Nothobranchius furzeri: one gene and its partners. The protein of the gene in region 3 purifies or fractionates together with the protein of the main gene of each other region. This does not show direct contact. Links are inferred from orthologs where the notes say so. Each region holds a gene or a part of one and is shown on either strand. Other genes may lie near its edges. The genes, in order: vps39, vps41, plekhm1 and vps33a.

Region 1 (4,305 bases), on a different chromosome or scaffold from region 3:
CCCAGATGTAAACAGCATCATGATGGTGGGTGTAGTCTGATAAATACAAACAGTAATAAGGGCCAGATCGTTGGCTGTTTACACAGAAACATCAGGGGTGCCATGAGTGACCTTTGACCCAACATGTCCGTTGGGGAGTTCTGATGTTTACAGAGTGTTACAGGAGGGAGGAGAGGGAGGCAGCGAGGGCGATCAAGCAAACAAACATCCGTAGCGACCAGCTCTTTCCCCTGTGGGGCAGCTAATCCTGTCTGTGTTAGAGTAACACACATCCAATGTAACAATTCACCTCTTTATTCCTGTCCTGTTGAGCGTTTCGGAACATTCCTCCTGTTTGCTCATGGGCACAGAACGAGAACCTCAGCCTCCGCTCTAAGAACAACGGTTATGTCAGGTTAAGAATTCCTACAAGGAGGCCTGGATCCACGGTCCGGCTCTGGATGCCGCTGTCCTTCATCTTTATCTCTGTAGCCCAGAGAGGAAAAGTCTCGGTCCGAGTGAGGAGTGGGTTCTACTGCTCGGTGGGACACACGCTCCGGTCTTTACAGCAGAAATAATGAACCACCACACCGTTGGGATACCTAGCAAACGCACTGAAACAGAGGATAAGATAATAACATCAGATTATTAATCACTTGGTCTGAAAACATCTGCAGAAACATGGTTTCCCTCACATGCCCCTACCTGTTTCCTATTTTCTTCTTACAGACTCTGCAGGTCTTTTCTTCTGTAATGACACATTTAACCTGCTGGTGGAAGATCCGTTCCTCCTGCACCTGGAAACAAAACAAAGCATCTTAAACCCCTGCAGCAAAAAGCCCTCCAACCTCCAAAAATCTGTTTCATGAGAACGTTATTTATGGAGAACTTCTTTTATTATTCCACGTGCCTAGAACCTGTGGCTCCGGGCCACAAGGGGCTTTTTAAAACTTCAAGATGCAAAAATAAACCCTTATTAAATAAAAAACATCAGATTCTAATGAGATATTGAAATAAAGAATCTCTTTAGAGAGGTCCAGGACTCACTCTTAGGAACTCGGCCTGCAGCAGACTCTTCAGAACCTGGTTGCAGCGTTTCCTCTGAGCCTTCTGCTCCAGGACGCTCTCCAGGAAGACCCGGATCTCTTGGATCTGAGTGTTGGCTGGAAGCAGGTTGATGGCCTGAAACAAACATATACATTTATACGGACAGGTCAGTGAGCCGAGGGGAAGAGGTCTGCTGCAGGCTTCCAGATTTAACTCTAGTTAAAGTTTTATTGTCTCCTAATCAACAAAGTCCCACACTGGTGAAATTACACGCAGCAGTGGATGCGCTCGGGAACTATTTGGTGGTTTATAAAAACGGAAAAGCAAGATCAGAAGAACAGAGCTAGCATTAGCATCGCTTTAGCCTCACAGAAAACATCAGCAGGAGAGACTTGAGTTTATTAAAGGCGTTGTAGCTGGATGAGCAGAATAAGATGTTCTGATTTTAATACATGGACACTTGTCCAAATGAAGAGGACTGTCTGAGGAAAGTGAGACTAAAATGGACCTTGGTGGTGTTGAGCTTGCTGTGGTGGAGCTCCAGAACCTGCAGGGCGGCCTGAAGGTTGGCCTGAGGCTCTGAGAGCTCCATCTTGATGGGTCCCAGGCAGTGGGCATCAGGAGGCGACAGGTACATCCGTAGGAGTGACAGGTACACCTGGAGGGCACATGCCAGCAATCATTTTACAGAAAATGTCAAGGATGTAATCACAGAAACGTCTAGAAGGATCCAACCTAAAACCAGGCAGGATCTCAGAAAAATATTAACAAGTTGAACAAATACAGAGTATTTCTAATCAATCCCAGTTTTACAATAATTAAAAAACAACAATAAAACATATTTAGACAAAATAATACTCACATCCTTACTTCCTTCAACTGAGCTGTTATAATGTCGGTGACAGTATCTGCAACACACACACACACACACACACACACACACACACACACACACACACACACACACACACACACACACACACACACACACACACACACACACACACACACACACACACACACACACACACACACACACACACACACACACACACACACACACACACACACACACACACACACACACACACACACGCGCGCGTCAGTAACAAATCTCCATGACAGCAAGTGTTTGATGACATCAGGTGAACTCACTCCTCAGCCATGTGTGTGTCTTTCAGGACGTGGACGTAGATGAAGAGCGCCTGCTCGTGTTTACCCATACGACCCAGAAGGAGAGCTCGTTCCTCCAGCAACCCTGGAAGGTCAAAGGTCAACACCGTAAACTGAAAACAGAAACAACTTACTCCTCCAGTCATTTCCTCTACCTCAGCTGCAAACAGTTTTTATAAAACAACTTTATTTTTCTCTTAATTGTTCTGGTTCCTGCTCAAACTCTTCTGCAGCAGGGAGGCGTTAGGCTTGGTGTCCCAGTGCATTCTGGGACTAGTAGTTTTAGTACTGCAGGCTGGTTGTAATATAGAAGACTTCATGGCCCACAGATAGCTGTTATGTGGGTCAGACTTGTCCCACATGCCTAGAGTTTGACTTATGTTGTGGAGGACATCATTCTCGAGTCCACATGCCTCCAGGGCTTGCACCAGACCTTCATGCATGTCCTCCTGTAGTCCGTTTACATCCCTGAGATCAGCTGTAGGACAGAAGCTTTTCTCTGGAGCTCACAGCGAGCAAACGCCTGAAACAAAAAGTCACTTCCTACCATCAAATGGAAAATCACTGATGAGTCTGGAAGGTTCATAGCTGCAGGAGATATCCAGGAACGACAGCAGCTTGTTTCTGAACTCTCCCAGTTCTCCATTCTCTTGACCTGCAGGAACAGCAGGAACCCCTGAAACACCAGAAAGTATCAGTTAGTTACAGCTGAAGTCATTTATTAGTCACACACTCTTCATCTCGTCAACACACAAAGAACCTCAGGAATCATTCATCTGATTTTCAGTGACAGCAAAGTGAAGCTTTACAGGAACTTAAAGCATCCTGAAGGCGAATCCACGAGAATTATCGGGCGTTTACCACCCACTGGTCTTGTAGAGGCGTTTCAACATCAGCGATCAGCATCTGAATTTTACTAAAACATTTTGAACGGTAAACAGACCTGTACAGATCAGCAACACTGGATTATAATCCGCAGCATGAAGTCAAGAGGATTTTAACACCATTTCCCTCCAAACTAAAGAATCACTAAAGTTTCCAAAGCCAAATGTGTGAAGCTGAGGGTATGTTAATGAGGGCCGCATTCCATTTTGAGGAACTTCTACTCGGAAGCATTTTACAGCTCAACCAGCATGCAGCCCTCGTTAACAACATGTCTACCCAGAAACAGGTTCACCAGTGATCTCCGTATCCACCAGGTTAGTTTAAAAACAAACAACAATCACCTGGATTCAAAGAGCTTCTGCTTCCACCTGAGAACGTGTCTGCGGCACGCACCTTCTGGTAGAGAGTTGAGGTACTGCTTCATGAGCCGCTGCACCCTGCCCAGGTACAGCTGAATCAGCACGTTGTGGAATTCTGGGCCCTTCTCATCCCACACGTAGATGATGTGCTCCAGATACGGGATGGCCAGCTCCTCGAAGCCCTCCTTCAGGAACTGCAGCACCTTGTCTCTGGGCAAAGTCTCCACCTCGGTCAGATCTTCAGTGAAGATCTAGAGAATAAATGAATAATTTTAGGATATTAGGAGTAAAAAAAAAAACCACACACACACACACGCACACACACACACACACACACACACACACACACACACAACTTCTTTTCCCACCTTCAAGCCATCTTCAGGACACATCTTTAAGACCCAGGGAGAAAACTCAAAGATGATTCCCAGATTCTCCGCTCCTGTTGGAGTGAAAAAGGTTTAGAAGGTCAAGAGTTCACCTGAGTTCATCAAAGTTCCCACGAGTGTCTGACTGCTCACCCAGCCTCTGCAGGTACTGAACAGTTCGCTCATGACCCTTCAGAGGAGAGTTGGCCTTGGTGGACTGGTCCAGCAGAACCTGCAGAGCTGTGACACAAGAGGAGGATTAAAACTTGCACGACTGAATGCAGCAGATGCAGAATTAATTAACAGCTGGTTTGAATCAGCAGCTGGGGACGGAGGAGGATCGGAGCAGCAGGATGATCTGATCGGATTAACAGGGATCAGCAGCAGGAAGGAAAGCTCATGGAAGTTCTGCATAAAGGAACACTTAGGCTGGATCTAGAACCAGGAGATTTGTCCCAAACAGCTGTTTCATGATAACTCCTCCTCAAGAGAAG
Region 2 (3,800 bases), on a different chromosome or scaffold from region 3:
GCTCTCGCTTACATGTGTGAGGTGGTTCTATTCTAATTTTCCCATTTGTGACATTACAGACAGGTACTTTTTGAAACGGCTTGCTTTAGACCCATAAATCCTAAAATACTGACAAAAAATGTATGGGAACTCCCCTGGATGATGGAGCTCTTCATCTTTTCTCCAAAGAAGCTCATTTTAGCTGCTTTTATTTGGGATCTTTTACTTTTGGTTATCCAAACCAGTGAGGGTGGGAATGTAGATGAACCAATAAATCAAGAGCATTTTCGTCCTTTTATTCTTTCAACAAGAACAAGTTATGAAGCACCGGCTACAACTGCAAAGCCCCAATCCACCGGCCCATCTTTTGCTCCATCCAGTCCTCACTTGTCAACTAGACACCCAAATAATTGAATTATATAAGGATGTGCAATAAAGCACAGATGAGATCTCTGCGACTACAAGATGAGATCTTGTTCATGAATGCCAGACAAACAGGATACACCCTGGATGAATCGACGCAAACCAGTAATGAACTTAAATTTGTACAGAAAATGAAGCTGTAGCTCTTGCATTGGCCGTAGAGAGCATCAAACTCCCGTGATGCACTCAGCAACTCATTTTGATGATTTATGATACTCTCAACCTAAGAAGCATTTTGGATGACATAAAGCATCAACAACACAGTCAGAGTTTATGTGATTTTATTCTTCATCACATTCAAGGTGATCTGGACAAAACACGGCACTTTACAGTTAGCAAACAAATAAAGGGTAACAGTTCTGTATTTTGGTGAGAGTACAGTTCATCAACTGAGGAAAAAAGATTCCTGTTCATCAGCGTACCGACGAGGGAAAAAAGGAGACAAAAAGCATCAATAACAACAACATGAGGGCATTAAAGTGTCACTTTTTCATTTCGAGTATTCCACTTCCAGGTCCTCGCCTCTTCGCACTGCAAATGTTACAGAACTGCACTCCAGGAATCTGGAAAAGTAAAAATGGGAACAAAGTGGAGGATGTTCCTGAGGTTTTCTGATAAAATAACACCAGAGTTGGGAAAGAGGTGTTTGAATGCAGACTTACTATTCCTGAAGACGGCAAACACTCCTTGTGAAACATGTGTCTGCAGTGAAACACCACCACACTGAAAGGCTGGGCCATGTCTGAAACACACACATGAAGCTGTTAATACAGTAAACATAAAAAAAAAAACAAAAAAAAAACACAGGGATCAATGACATTATCAACCCACCTGATGGTAATATAGTACCATGACACGACTCACAAATGTTCCCCTCTGAAAGAATGAACAGAATCAACACATTTAGGGGTTCATCTGCACTGGTTCAACACAAACTAGCAATAGAATCTGCTCCCACCATCGACCCGGACTCCTCTCATCTGGGTTCGATGCATCTTCTGGAGCAAGGAGAGGGAGTCGGCCACCAGGATCTTCTTACACCCTTCCCTTAAAAGAATCTACAAGTCGAGAAATAAAAGCGCGTAATTAAGCAAGTGAGTCAGAAGATTTCATGCCATATAAACCAATTAAATTACCTGTTAAACCTGTTATAACTCTTCAAAAAGCAGAACTTAATGGATTAATAACAAGTTTTTACATGAAGGAAGCTCCTGGTGTGTCATGTAATCTTTAAGCCACCAAAGAATCAGTCTGCAACCTGCAGACATTTAAATAAATAGAGTTTTTCTTTGAGAGAAGCCACCTGACCTGCAGGTTGTAGTCATGGAGGATTTTCACCAGCGAGTCCCTGAGATTCGGGATCTCCATGCCCTCCTTGATCCGATAGATGAGCAGAATCGGATCAACATGCGTGCCGATATTATTCAGGAGGCCCGTGATGAACGCTGGGTTTAGTGAGGGTGGAGTGAGTTAAAGACAATGAGATAAAAGTTCAGAGTCAAGTGACGTCTTACGCGGCTTGTCGATCGAGTACGAGATGAGGTCCTCCCACAGCTCTGCGTCATCCTGCTCTTTAGCGAACTCGATGGCTTTGTCCACGTCCTCCAGCTCCTCCATGATCATCTGCAGGGCTCGTCTACAGTTTCCCATCCTGCCTGAAAGACGAACGAGAAAAAAAAATTGCATTTGTTTCTCACGTTTCCCTTAACAGATGCGTTTGTTTCTAAATGTTTACTTAGCAGGAAGACCGTCTCTTCCACAAAGTTCCTCTGCTGACAAATCTCAAGAGCCTGGATGAAAACGACAAAGTTCAAGTAAGAAGAAATGACAGAAGCTTAATTTGTTTGTAATTCTGGTGGCAGGAACACACAGTACCTTTTCAAGAGGGCAGTGAGTGCTGTCTCTCAGAAAAGGCAGAAGGTTTGGCCGGTCGTATTCGGCGTACAGGCCGATCTGCTTCTCATGGTACTTCTGTCCTTTGTGGTGGTCCCTCTTGAACAGTTTATGGAGATACTAGGAGAGAAACGGCTTAGCCATCACGCTGCACCAATGAATTCAAATGAACCCCTAAAACATCCAAGTTACAGAAAACTCACCACATGCAGCAACTCAGGTCGACCATGTAGCTCCTCCACCACCCTGTCCATCTGTCGGGAGAGCCATGGACATCAGCTAGCAGCAAAGTTCTTACCAGGACATTCAAAACTGTCAAATTTACTCACAGAAATCTTGTCTTCATTGTCGAGAAGCATGTCAACAGCTTTCTAATGAAAACGTACACATTTAATTACATAAATGGTCTTTAGATGGACTAAATAATAAATAGGTTGGTTTGTTACCTCCTTATCAAAGTCCATCAGGAGGACGATCTTGTCCTCTATGGAGGAGAACAGGTTGTGCTTGTGGATCAGCTGGTAGACATCTTTGTGTCTCAGTCTCAGGTAGATCTCTAAAGCTCTGTCGTAGCGCTGGTCGTACGTGTACCTGAGAAAGCATCAAGTCCTGTTCAGCAACTTAACAAGAAGCTTAGATGAAAGCGAGCGCTGAGGCGACTCACAGCTCAGCCAGCGTGGTGAGCAGCGTGCTGTTGGTCGGATCCTTCTTCAGGTGGTCAGTGACGGCCTGAACGATGGCCATGTTGTTGTAAAGTTCTCCAGGCCACTCCCGGATCAGCGTGGCAAAGCCCTTCAGGAAAATAAGAAAAGGAATAAGATTAAAGAGCAATGAGTGCATTTCTATAGTAGGTACACACGTTAGTAGCTGGTTTTCAGCCATCTAGATCTAATCGTTTTTCCATTTCATTTTGTCTCCCAACCAGAAAACTTCTCTTACATCTTTAGAATTCTCCAGCAGGTGGAGGAATAATACCGCTGCACCATTTCTAGGAACTAAACGTGACCCACATCACAGCTGAGCTACAAACGGCGGGTTTTGAAGTCTTATTTTCTGTTATTTGGACATCTTGCCTCAGACTGGATAACAGCAACACCACTCCAGCACTGACTTGCAGCGTGGATGTTTTATCTCCACAAAAAACACAAGCCTGGAGGAGCTTCTGCCGTGTGGTGGTGTTGCTAATGCTAACAGTTAGCTCTGCTAGTCGAGTCGTTCACTGCTGGCTCATGGACGCTAAACAAACAACAGCCTTCCCCGTTGCGAGTCAAGATGGACGAGTCCATAAATGTTAAGTGACAGCGTGATGTAGATCTGTCAGGCTTTTCTAATCCTAGAGTTTCACCGTCTGTTGTCTATCAGAAGCTAATGCAGGAGATTATTTTCATGTTCAGCATGCTTAAAAAGCTCAGTGACCAGAAATAATCATTAAAAATGGTTTTTCAGTGTCCCACACCTTTGAAAAAAGTTTTGAACAAGCTCGTTTTTGCCAGGATTTGTTGCTT
Region 3 (3,603 bases):
AGCCACACTGTAGTTTGATTACTCAGCATCTTCTGCTTCAGATTGACTGGTCCATCCTTAGATTCCCGTCTCTGGTTCCACTCTGGGATATGTCAGTGGAGTTGAGGAGCTTCTTGTATGCTTTCCACAACCCAACCACATCCCCAGTAGCTAAATCCCACTTTAAACGTGTATTGCCACCCCCGAGACATCTGATAGTTTGCCAGAACCTCCTCAGAGCTGAGCAGTAGTCAAACTCTTCCTATGCCTAAAACGTTATCTCAGCAACATCACCTGACTCTCAAGTACTAGTCAGCTCCTTGTGGAGACCGATGGTGGAGACCCACAGACCAACAATGCCCTGTAGGCCTCCTTCTTCAGCCTGAAGCCTTCCCTAACCTCTGGTGTCCATCAGCGAATCTGAGGGTTATCGTCACGTCTCACACCACTCCTATCTTCACCCAAGTGTCCAAAACACAACTGGCCAGATTTATTCCTTAAATAAAAACAGAACCAAATTCAACACTCCAATATTTATTTCAATTTGACCCTTTAAGATAAAACGAGTACACATCAAGAATAACAGTACTGCAGAATGTGCCTTCTAAATGCCATATGCTGTGCATAGATCAAAATGAAATTATTAAACATGTAATGCTTTTATTGTTGACAGTTTCCACAAATAATTAATGATAACCAAACAATTATTGATAAAAACAAAAAAAGATAAACAAAAAAAAGAGGAATAAAAAGCAAGTTTTCATAAATCATTAGTTTTCTTGGGAAATAGTAAAGCTACAATTGAGCCATTTATCTGTATAGTGCAAATACACATCATCTATTTTCACCTTAGATCCAACAAAATTATCTAACCCGAATCTTAATTTGCAAACCTCTTTTCTTTGAACGCGCGTCCTTCCGTACACGCAGCAGATAGAAATTTTGCAGCACTCATATTTATACAAAACCTAAAAATTTAACGCTTCTGTGTCGTTTATTTTATTGGTTAATAAAACAAACAGATTTGTCGTGAGTTTTTTTTAAACTGTGAGAATAAATCATGGGACAAGTTTTAAAAAGGCACAATCAAAATCAGTGAATTTGATAAAGAGCTTTTTCTATTATTTACAAGTTCCTTGACATTAAGGTAAATACAGAATAAGAAGCATGCATGGTAGACATGACCGAGGAGAATCAGACACTAAATAATGAACAACAATGTAAACGTGTGTTGTTTACAATCGCCCACTGTCCTGTCTTTGTTTTGATGCCGTGGCTTGATATTTGTAGAGGTAATGAAATCTCCACGCAGTAACATTTGGCTGCATCGTGTCAAGTGTGTGCACCTTCGAATCAGTGCAAAGGTCTAGCTACTGTGGCACTGAGGCTCCCTTCTATTCGTTTTTTAGGTTTGCTCACGCTGATCGCTCTCATAATTGCATAATTGGTTACGTCTTGTGAATCCTTTCCTCTAACAGATGTCAAACATCCTGAAAGAGGTGGAGTTTTGCAGCCAGCTTCAGTTCTCATTCTTGCAGATTCCTCTCCAGGTACTTCTTCATTCTTTGACAGCGTGGACAAGAATCAGTGGTGGACTTGCAGGACCGGTGGAATACGGCTTTACAGGCTGTGCACCTGCTCAGAAACAAGGACGGAAATAAAAAACAGATTAAGAGGACTTTTTATCCATTTTACCAGTAGAAACAACAACTTCTCTTACAAATGCTAGACCAGATTTAAAATATTTTTGTAAACCTTTCGTTTTGTCCAAGTCACTTCATATACAGTGAGATAATCCAGACACCAAACATAAACTAGAGAAATAAAAAACTCTATTTCCCAAAGTAAGTATTTTTTTAATGTTACAAAAATGTGTGTGTTTGCTCCAAATTTAATCAGCCATGTGTATAAATAAATTGTTATTAATCCCATTTACTTACTTATTTGTTTATTTGTGAAATGAGCAAACTAACTACAACAGCAGCAAAGTTAACGTGCCAGTTTTTTACTGGGTACTTGATTTACTTCCTGCTACAAAGGAACTATTTAAACAGACATAACAAAGTGACAATCTTAAAAAATATAACCAAAACAAAAGGAAATAAGGCACCAAAAAATGGGATTATGAGATTATACCTGATAATGCTTTCGAACTGAAAGGGAAAGATGATATCTTCGGAGTGACATATCTGGCAGATGTAGCCACGCTGAGTGCACAAGTCACAATTCAGCACGTGATTAGAGGCGTGCTGCACCAGTGGGTCAAGGAAGATTGCATATTGGCTCTCTGCTATCTATAAAACACACAAAATGAAAAAAAATTCAGATTTCTTTTCTATGGTACAGCAGCTGGTTGTTGCTACATCAGAGAGTCAGAAAAGTACCTGTCTTAGATCCATGACGCTGTAAAGATGGCTCGACTCTAGCAGATATGTTCGCTGGCCCATTCTGGAAAGATGTGGAAAAAACCATGACATCAAAACAGAAAGCAGCTAATTATCATGGGGCTCCTGACCTCTTTCGTGATGCACAGTGCAGTTAAGTGGAGAAATCTCCGCAGATACCCCATTCGAACAACAAACACACCTTGCTTGGAGTTTCTTGCAGGCTCCGCTGCGGCAGGAGAGCAGGTAGTCGCCCAGGAGACGCAGCTTCTCTCTCAGAGTGTGGGCCTGAGTCATGGACTCCGAGTGTGTCACCAGCTCAGGGTTCAGCTGCTCCAGGTTAAGCAGAGGTTCCTGTTCTACTTGAGCCAACAGACAAAGAGCTCTCTTTGACACCTAGACAGAAACACAAACACTCAGGTTTGTTAGATGATGATTTTGGTTTTTCAGTTATGATTTAAGTCTGTTCATAGAACTCTGCTTTGTTGGGTGTTTTAATGAAATTCTCCTTACTACAGACTCCAGATACTTTTAGATTTGACTGCTGCCTTTGACAGAGTGGACCATAATCATTTAAAATCCCATTAGAGCTCTGTTTTAACTGGAATGTCATAAAAGCAGACACCTTTCTGTGTCAGTTTAAACAACTTCTATTCCTTTTTGGGTTTTTTTCATCACGAGGGGTTCCACAGGGCTCAGTTCATGGTCCTTGGCCTTTTTAATGTGACAGGGTGAGTGTCTAGTCACCGCATCCCAATTGATTATGTTGGATCAGCTAGATCATGCGCCCTAGCTACTTGATCATGGGGATGTCCACTTGGCTGACAGGTTAGCACATGCGACTCTCACCCCGGAGTCCGGGAATCGAATCACGCCCGGGGCCCTTGTTTTTCCTCCTTGCCACTTAATGTTTGTAGGTTTTAGGGTCCATTTTAAGAAAGATTTCACTGTTATGAAGAATATACACAGATGAACCCTGAAATAAAAGGGTGACCAAAACATTAAAATACTGTTTAAAACCTTTGATGGTTTTTAAGTTTAAAACAAAGAAAGGTTTGTCTTTGATAGTGCTATAACCAGTGGGCCCTGGTCATAGCAGTCATACCAGTGTCCCCTGACTTGGGTCTTCTGGTGCTATATGGTAAGCCAATAGTAACCAATTTGGGTTCTAAATCAGGTTATTTTAAGATGGACAGTTAAATGAGGACTGTTATCAAGCTCAGCTTTTGTTATTCGAGAC
Region 4 (5,079 bases), on a different chromosome or scaffold from region 3:
ACACACACACACACACACACACACACACACACACACACAAATCCTGCAGCAACGCCCAGTGACTGCAACAACACACTCTCAAAGATAACTGACAAGGATGGCTTACTTATGTCAGATCTGCAACAAGGAAGGAGAGCTGTTGTAGGCCAGGTTCTGGTTCTGAGGGCAAGAAAAGGTAACCTCTTACACCTGGGATTATTTTAATCTGCCACCATGAATAAACTCAGTTCTTAACCATGACACGTCACCTCAGCACACAAATAGGTAGTCAGTGCATATTACCACTTCACTTACAAAGAGACATCTTAAAAATAGAATTTCAATCGAATATTCATTTACATTTCTGACATCAGCTGCATGCATACAGAGTGATCTGCATACACTTTTATTCCGTCTGATCAATCAGTTTAACTGGCTCGTGAAGACAAGGAATTTTGTTCCATCAAATTAACACAGGGTAGGAAATATGCTCCGTGTTAACACAGATGACTCACTCTCCCTCTCTTCTGAATGAAGCGCTGCATTCATTCAACTTGAGACATTTCTGTGTATCACCTGACATAACGCAAAATTAGAATATGAAAACAATGCTCATGGTGAAGATGCAATGTTTAGAAAACCTTGCAGAGAGATGGTGATGCCTACCTGAGAATCCAGCCCTGCCTCCTCTCCTCTTGTCGGGGAACGGAGCGGACTAGATTTCTGTGCAGAGCCTGGATCCGATCATAGAGTTAGTCATTGCGCATGGTGCCTGTCACCAAAACCGTGCTTTATTTATTTATTTTATTTTATTTATTTATTTGGCTGGAGGAGTTGTCTGTTGCAGATCACCCCGATGCGTGGGAAACGGTCTTCTATGCGTGGAGGATGGTTGGAAAGCCCTTGGTACCGTGGGAAGGAAACCCCTGGATCTGAAGTGATAACACAATGATGCTCATAAGTGGGCAGTCACCACCTGATCCAGTTTTCTTTATAAGTGTCTAAATTTATCTCAACATGCAGGCACTCCAGTTGAGAAATCACTGACATTTTGATTACGCAGTTGCAGTGGTGCGCCTTTTAACGCTTTTCTGTGTTTATACATGTATAAACATACAGTAATAAATAAACTGTACAGTAGTGTTTAAGTTGTATTGTAATTCCGTTAGAAATCAATTATTTGTGGGGGGTTTATTCCACTTAATTTGGATTACACACTTTGCCCGCTAACAAATGTTTTACTTTAAAAATTTGATCATTTTTGTCTTAATACAGTTTGAGTCTCGTGTTGATTTGGCTACAACAATCATATGTCCAAAAACGGACCCTAAAATTCAAAGATAAGTGTCCCTAAAATAAAGACGTTTAGTGCTTTGTTTTGACCGCAGACGCGCGTTTGTTTCGCAGGAAAATTGCGTCATCTAACGGTCACTCTGAATTTTACACTCAAGGAAATGATACCAAGACGTTTCACTCCTCATACTTCCTTGGTTGTAAACCCGAGACAAAAGCAACTTCATTCGGTGCATTATCGTCTACATGTGGTTGACATACAAAGAAATTTAATATGTGACACTGAGGCAAAGCTCTTTTAAACAGTACGGAGTTGATTTTATCTAATCCTCCTTTACTTCCGGGACACCAGAAAATTATTCTAGACCTAAAATATAATTTTTTAACCTACGTAATATAACTAAAGTCTACTAACATGAAGCTGAATTAAACTTGAATTTTTATTTTATTTTAATTTCCTAAATGTCTTGTCAGTACTGTGACGCATTTGGTCATGTGACTTTGACTTCCTGCCGAAGTCACCTGATTTTTGTGTTGTGTTGTGAGAAAAAAATGGCTGCTCATCTGTCCTACGGCAGAGTGAATTTAAACATTTTAAGAGAAGCGGCACGAAAAGAACTTCGAGAGTTTTTGGACAAATGCGCGGGAAGTAAGGTAAATAAAGTCACTTACAGACGCTGGAAAATATCAAAAGGAAATAGTCTTTTCTTATTTGTACAAAAATGTATTCATGATCCTGACAAATTAGACGGATTGTGTCGCGTTTACAGTACAGTCTATGGTTTAAACCAACGTGAAACGCGACCACGGGCAAATGCGCGTGTGAGCTTAAGTTTGATTTAAAACTTGTTTCCATAAATAAAATGTTTTTCATGGATACATGATGTGTTGTTGCTCTTTAGGCCATAGTTTGGGATGAGTATCTGACAGGACCTTTTGGACTAATAGCTCAGTATTCTCTGCTGAAGGTAAGTGCCTAACCCTTTACAGATTATTAAAATAAAACACAATGTAAGTAGATCTGACAGCCTGAGCCTTCACTTCTATTGCTCATTTTTTTGTGTGTTTTTCAGGAACATGAGGTGGAAAAAATGTTTACCCTCAAGAGTGGCAGACTCCCCTCTGCTGATGTCAAAAACATCATCTTCTTTGTTCGTCCCAGGCTGGAGCTTATGGACATCATTGCTGACAATATATTCAGGTGCCCCTCACTGTTATAAGCAACCAGTTTATACATCTTCCCTTAAAGAAATCCTTACAAGTATAACATTTGCATCTTGGATCGTGCACCTTTCAGTGAAGGCAAGCTGCATTCATCACGAGACTTCCACATTTTGTTTGTGCCTCGGCGGAGCATGCTGTGTGAGCAGCGGCTGAAAGAGCAGGGCGTGCTGGCCTCTTTCACCAACATTGATGAGTACATCCTGGATCTGATTCCTTATGATGGAGACCTGCTCTCTATGGAGTATGAAAGTGCTTTCAGGGTGAGTTTTTTCCCATTACAAATATGGAGTGTTATTTAGTCACAACATCAGAACCTCCTGCTCTATTTTATGTGTTTGAGTATATCTTTGCATACCATTTCATATTTGTACTTGCTTTCATCTCATTCAGGAGTGCTACCTGGAAAATGACCTGACGAGCCTGTACCACACAGCCAAAGGTCTCATGACCCTGCAGGCGCTTTACGGCACCATTCCACAGATTTTTGGGAAGGGAGACTGTGCACGGGTGAGTAAACCCAATGATCTGTGCAGTAACTGGAAAAAACTGTTTACACACACAATGTTAATATTAATAATGAGCAGATTAAAGACCTTTTTCCTGACAGATATTCTCTGTTTTATAGCATGTTGCCAACATGATGTTGCGGATGAAGAGGGAGTTTGCTGGCACTCAGAATCAGATTCTGCCGGTGTTTGACACTCTTCTCCTCCTGGACCGCAACATTGACCTGCTCACACCTCTAGCTACACAGCTCACTTACGAAGGCCTCATTGATGAAATCTATGGAATAACTAACGGTCAGAATGCACCATCATACGTTTGGAATCGTTCTATTTTTGTGTGAGATAAAAACATAAAAATGTTTAATATATTTTCTATTTCAATGATATATTTTAGTCTACTTAATTATTTTTTGCTAAAGGCACAGTTCTTCCTTTTTTTTCTCTTTGCCGTCTGACAGGATATGTCAAGCTTCCTCCTGAGAAGTTTGCACAGAAGAAGCAAGGAGAAGCTAGCAAAGATTTACCCACAGAGCCCAAGAAGTTACAGCTCAACTCAGCAGAAGAGCTGTATGCAGAAATCCGGGACAAAAATTTCAATGCTGTTGGTGCTGCACTCAGCAAAAAGGCTAAAATCATTTCTGCAGCGTTTGAGGTTGGTTTTCCTTTGTTTTTGTTTTTTGTTAATTTTTTTGTTTTTTTTAGATTTTGCACCTCTTAGTGTTAATTCCTACCAGATAACATAACTGTCTTATTTTATTTTGAAAGAAAAGGGGAAAAAACACATGTTTTCAATTATGGCTGCTTTCCACTTCTGTAGCTCTGCATGCTGGGTTTTCTGTAAAACACTAATGAGCAGATCTTCCTAATGGAATGCAGCCCTACTCCTTCAAGTCTAATTGTCTGCTGTAGGCTTTTATTGATTTATGTTCACAAGTGTTTTAAGGAAGACGTTCAAAATTGTCATCAAAGGTTTTTTTTAACAAATCAGAAAACCTACCTATGCCTTTGTTTAATTTTAAATTGAGCATTTGCATTTTTACATGGCCTGAAAAAAATTTTAATCTGCTATATAACTTCATTATCTATTTGAATGGTCTCCGTTTGGAGAAACAGAGATTAGTTCTGAACAGACGAACAAGCTAACAGCTAACATTTAAAACTTTAGCCAAATATAAACTAACTGGAATTTGTCCAACCCCTTCCCCTAACCCCTGACTCATCTCTGAGTTCCCTTTCTACTGGTTATTTTTGAAATATGATCGGTTAATCTGAGTTTAACATGCTGGCTAAACCTGAAAACAGTCTACCACCCCTATTTCCTGCATTAGCAGCTGATAAAAATAGGGAAACGCTTGGATTAGAAAAGCCTGACAATTCCACATCATATTGTCAAATTAGCATTCATGGACACACCCATCTTGGCTCACGATGGGGAAGGCTGTTATTGGTATAGCATCCAGGAGAGAGCAGAGCACGTCTCGGCTAGTAGAAGCCAACCGTTAGCATTTACAGCACCGCATCATAGCAGAACTCCTTCAGGCTTGTGTTGTTTGTGGAGCAATGCAAATGGAGTCAGTGGTAGCTGTTAGCCAATCAGAGGCGAGATGTTTGAATATAAGGAAATAAGACTCCAAATCCTGCCGTCTTCTGCTCTCCTCTGCTTTGGCTCACTTCTACTTCCTGAAACAGGAGCTCCAGAGCTTTTCCCCCACAGAGATTGACTCACAAAGCACTCGTTTATGCTAGAGACCACTGCAAATGTGTTGAGATATTTTAAGACATCAGAAACAGTTTTTAACGGGCCCAGCACAGACTAGTCGTTAGCCAGTCTATCAGTCTATCCATTTATCCCAATCAAGGTTTGTCACAGATCTGTCTACATCAAAAACAAACTACATTACGGATTTATTTACATTAAAAGTAATTCTAGTATACTTGTTTATACTCACTTGTTTTGTTATCTTTTAGTGCAGTTGCTTGTCCTAATGTAGCTTATTTAACTAAAATGTTGGTGATTTTAATTAGAAATGTTCTCTAACTGTTGTATAAAACAGTTTTAACAGACCTAACCACGCTT

Evidence for each region.
Region 1: the proteins of plekhm1 (region 3) and vps39 purify together in Homo sapiens (co-immunoprecipitation; 3 studies listed by BioGRID and IntAct, with this or other methods). This does not show direct contact. The link is inferred for Nothobranchius furzeri from reciprocal best matches to the Homo sapiens genes PLEKHM1 and VPS39.
Region 2: the proteins of plekhm1 (region 3) and vps41 purify together in Homo sapiens (affinity purification with western blotting; 4 studies listed by BioGRID and IntAct, with this or other methods). This does not show direct contact. The link is inferred for Nothobranchius furzeri from reciprocal best matches to the Homo sapiens genes PLEKHM1 and VPS41.
Region 4: the proteins of plekhm1 (region 3) and vps33a purify together in Homo sapiens (affinity purification with western blotting; 3 studies listed by BioGRID and IntAct, with this or other methods). This does not show direct contact. The link is inferred for Nothobranchius furzeri from reciprocal best matches to the Homo sapiens genes PLEKHM1 and VPS33A.

Annotation. Positions count from the first base shown.
Region 1 is NC_091758.1:17,005,945-17,010,249, forward strand, and holds part of vps39 (vam6/Vps39-like protein), read right to left. Parts: intron 4,052-4,305; coding exon 3,965-4,051; intron 3,886-3,964; coding exon 3,812-3,885; intron 3,695-3,811; coding exon 3,478-3,694; intron 2,876-3,477; coding exon 2,747-2,875; intron 2,285-2,746; coding exon 2,182-2,284; intron 1,935-2,181; coding exon 1,889-1,934; intron 1,685-1,888; coding exon 1,535-1,684; intron 1,162-1,534; coding exon 1,027-1,161; intron 777-1,026; coding exon 685-776; intron 594-684; coding exon 512-593; 3' UTR 1-511. UniProt on the Homo sapiens protein: Regulator of TGF-beta/activin signaling, inhibiting SMAD3- and activating SMAD2-dependent transcription.
Region 2 is NC_091747.1:46,097,887-46,101,686, reverse strand, and holds the end of vps41 (vacuolar protein sorting-associated protein 41 homolog), read right to left. Parts: intron 3,088-3,800; coding exon 2,960-3,087; intron 2,887-2,959; coding exon 2,742-2,886; intron 2,667-2,741; coding exon 2,625-2,666; intron 2,550-2,624; coding exon 2,499-2,549; intron 2,416-2,498; coding exon 2,278-2,415; intron 2,193-2,277; coding exon 2,138-2,192; intron 2,058-2,137; coding exon 1,917-2,057; intron 1,848-1,916; coding exon 1,711-1,847; intron 1,461-1,710; coding exon 1,361-1,460; intron 1,279-1,360; coding exon 1,234-1,278; intron 1,145-1,233; coding exon 1,065-1,144; intron 966-1,064; coding exon 885-965; 3' UTR 667-884; downstream 1-666. UniProt on the Homo sapiens protein: Plays a role in vesicle-mediated protein trafficking to lysosomal compartments including the endocytic membrane transport and autophagic pathways. Acts as a component of the HOPS endosomal tethering complex.
Region 3 is NC_091756.1:48,095,393-48,098,995, reverse strand, and holds the end of plekhm1 (pleckstrin homology domain-containing family M member 1), read right to left. Parts: intron 2,760-3,603; coding exon 2,566-2,759; intron 2,428-2,565; coding exon 2,364-2,427; intron 2,274-2,363; coding exon 2,116-2,273; intron 1,615-2,115; coding exon 1,506-1,614; 3' UTR 1,047-1,505; downstream 1-1,046. UniProt on the Homo sapiens protein: Acts as a multivalent adapter protein that regulates Rab7-dependent and HOPS complex-dependent fusion events in the endolysosomal system and couples autophagic and the endocytic trafficking pathways.
Region 4 is NC_091757.1:37,278,321-37,283,399, reverse strand, and holds the start of vps33a (vacuolar protein sorting-associated protein 33A), read left to right. Parts: upstream 1-1,774; 5' UTR 1,775-1,824; coding exon 1,825-1,926; intron 1,927-2,174; coding exon 2,175-2,240; intron 2,241-2,345; coding exon 2,346-2,473; intron 2,474-2,569; coding exon 2,570-2,756; intron 2,757-2,886; coding exon 2,887-3,003; intron 3,004-3,121; coding exon 3,122-3,296; intron 3,297-3,460; coding exon 3,461-3,654; intron 3,655-5,079.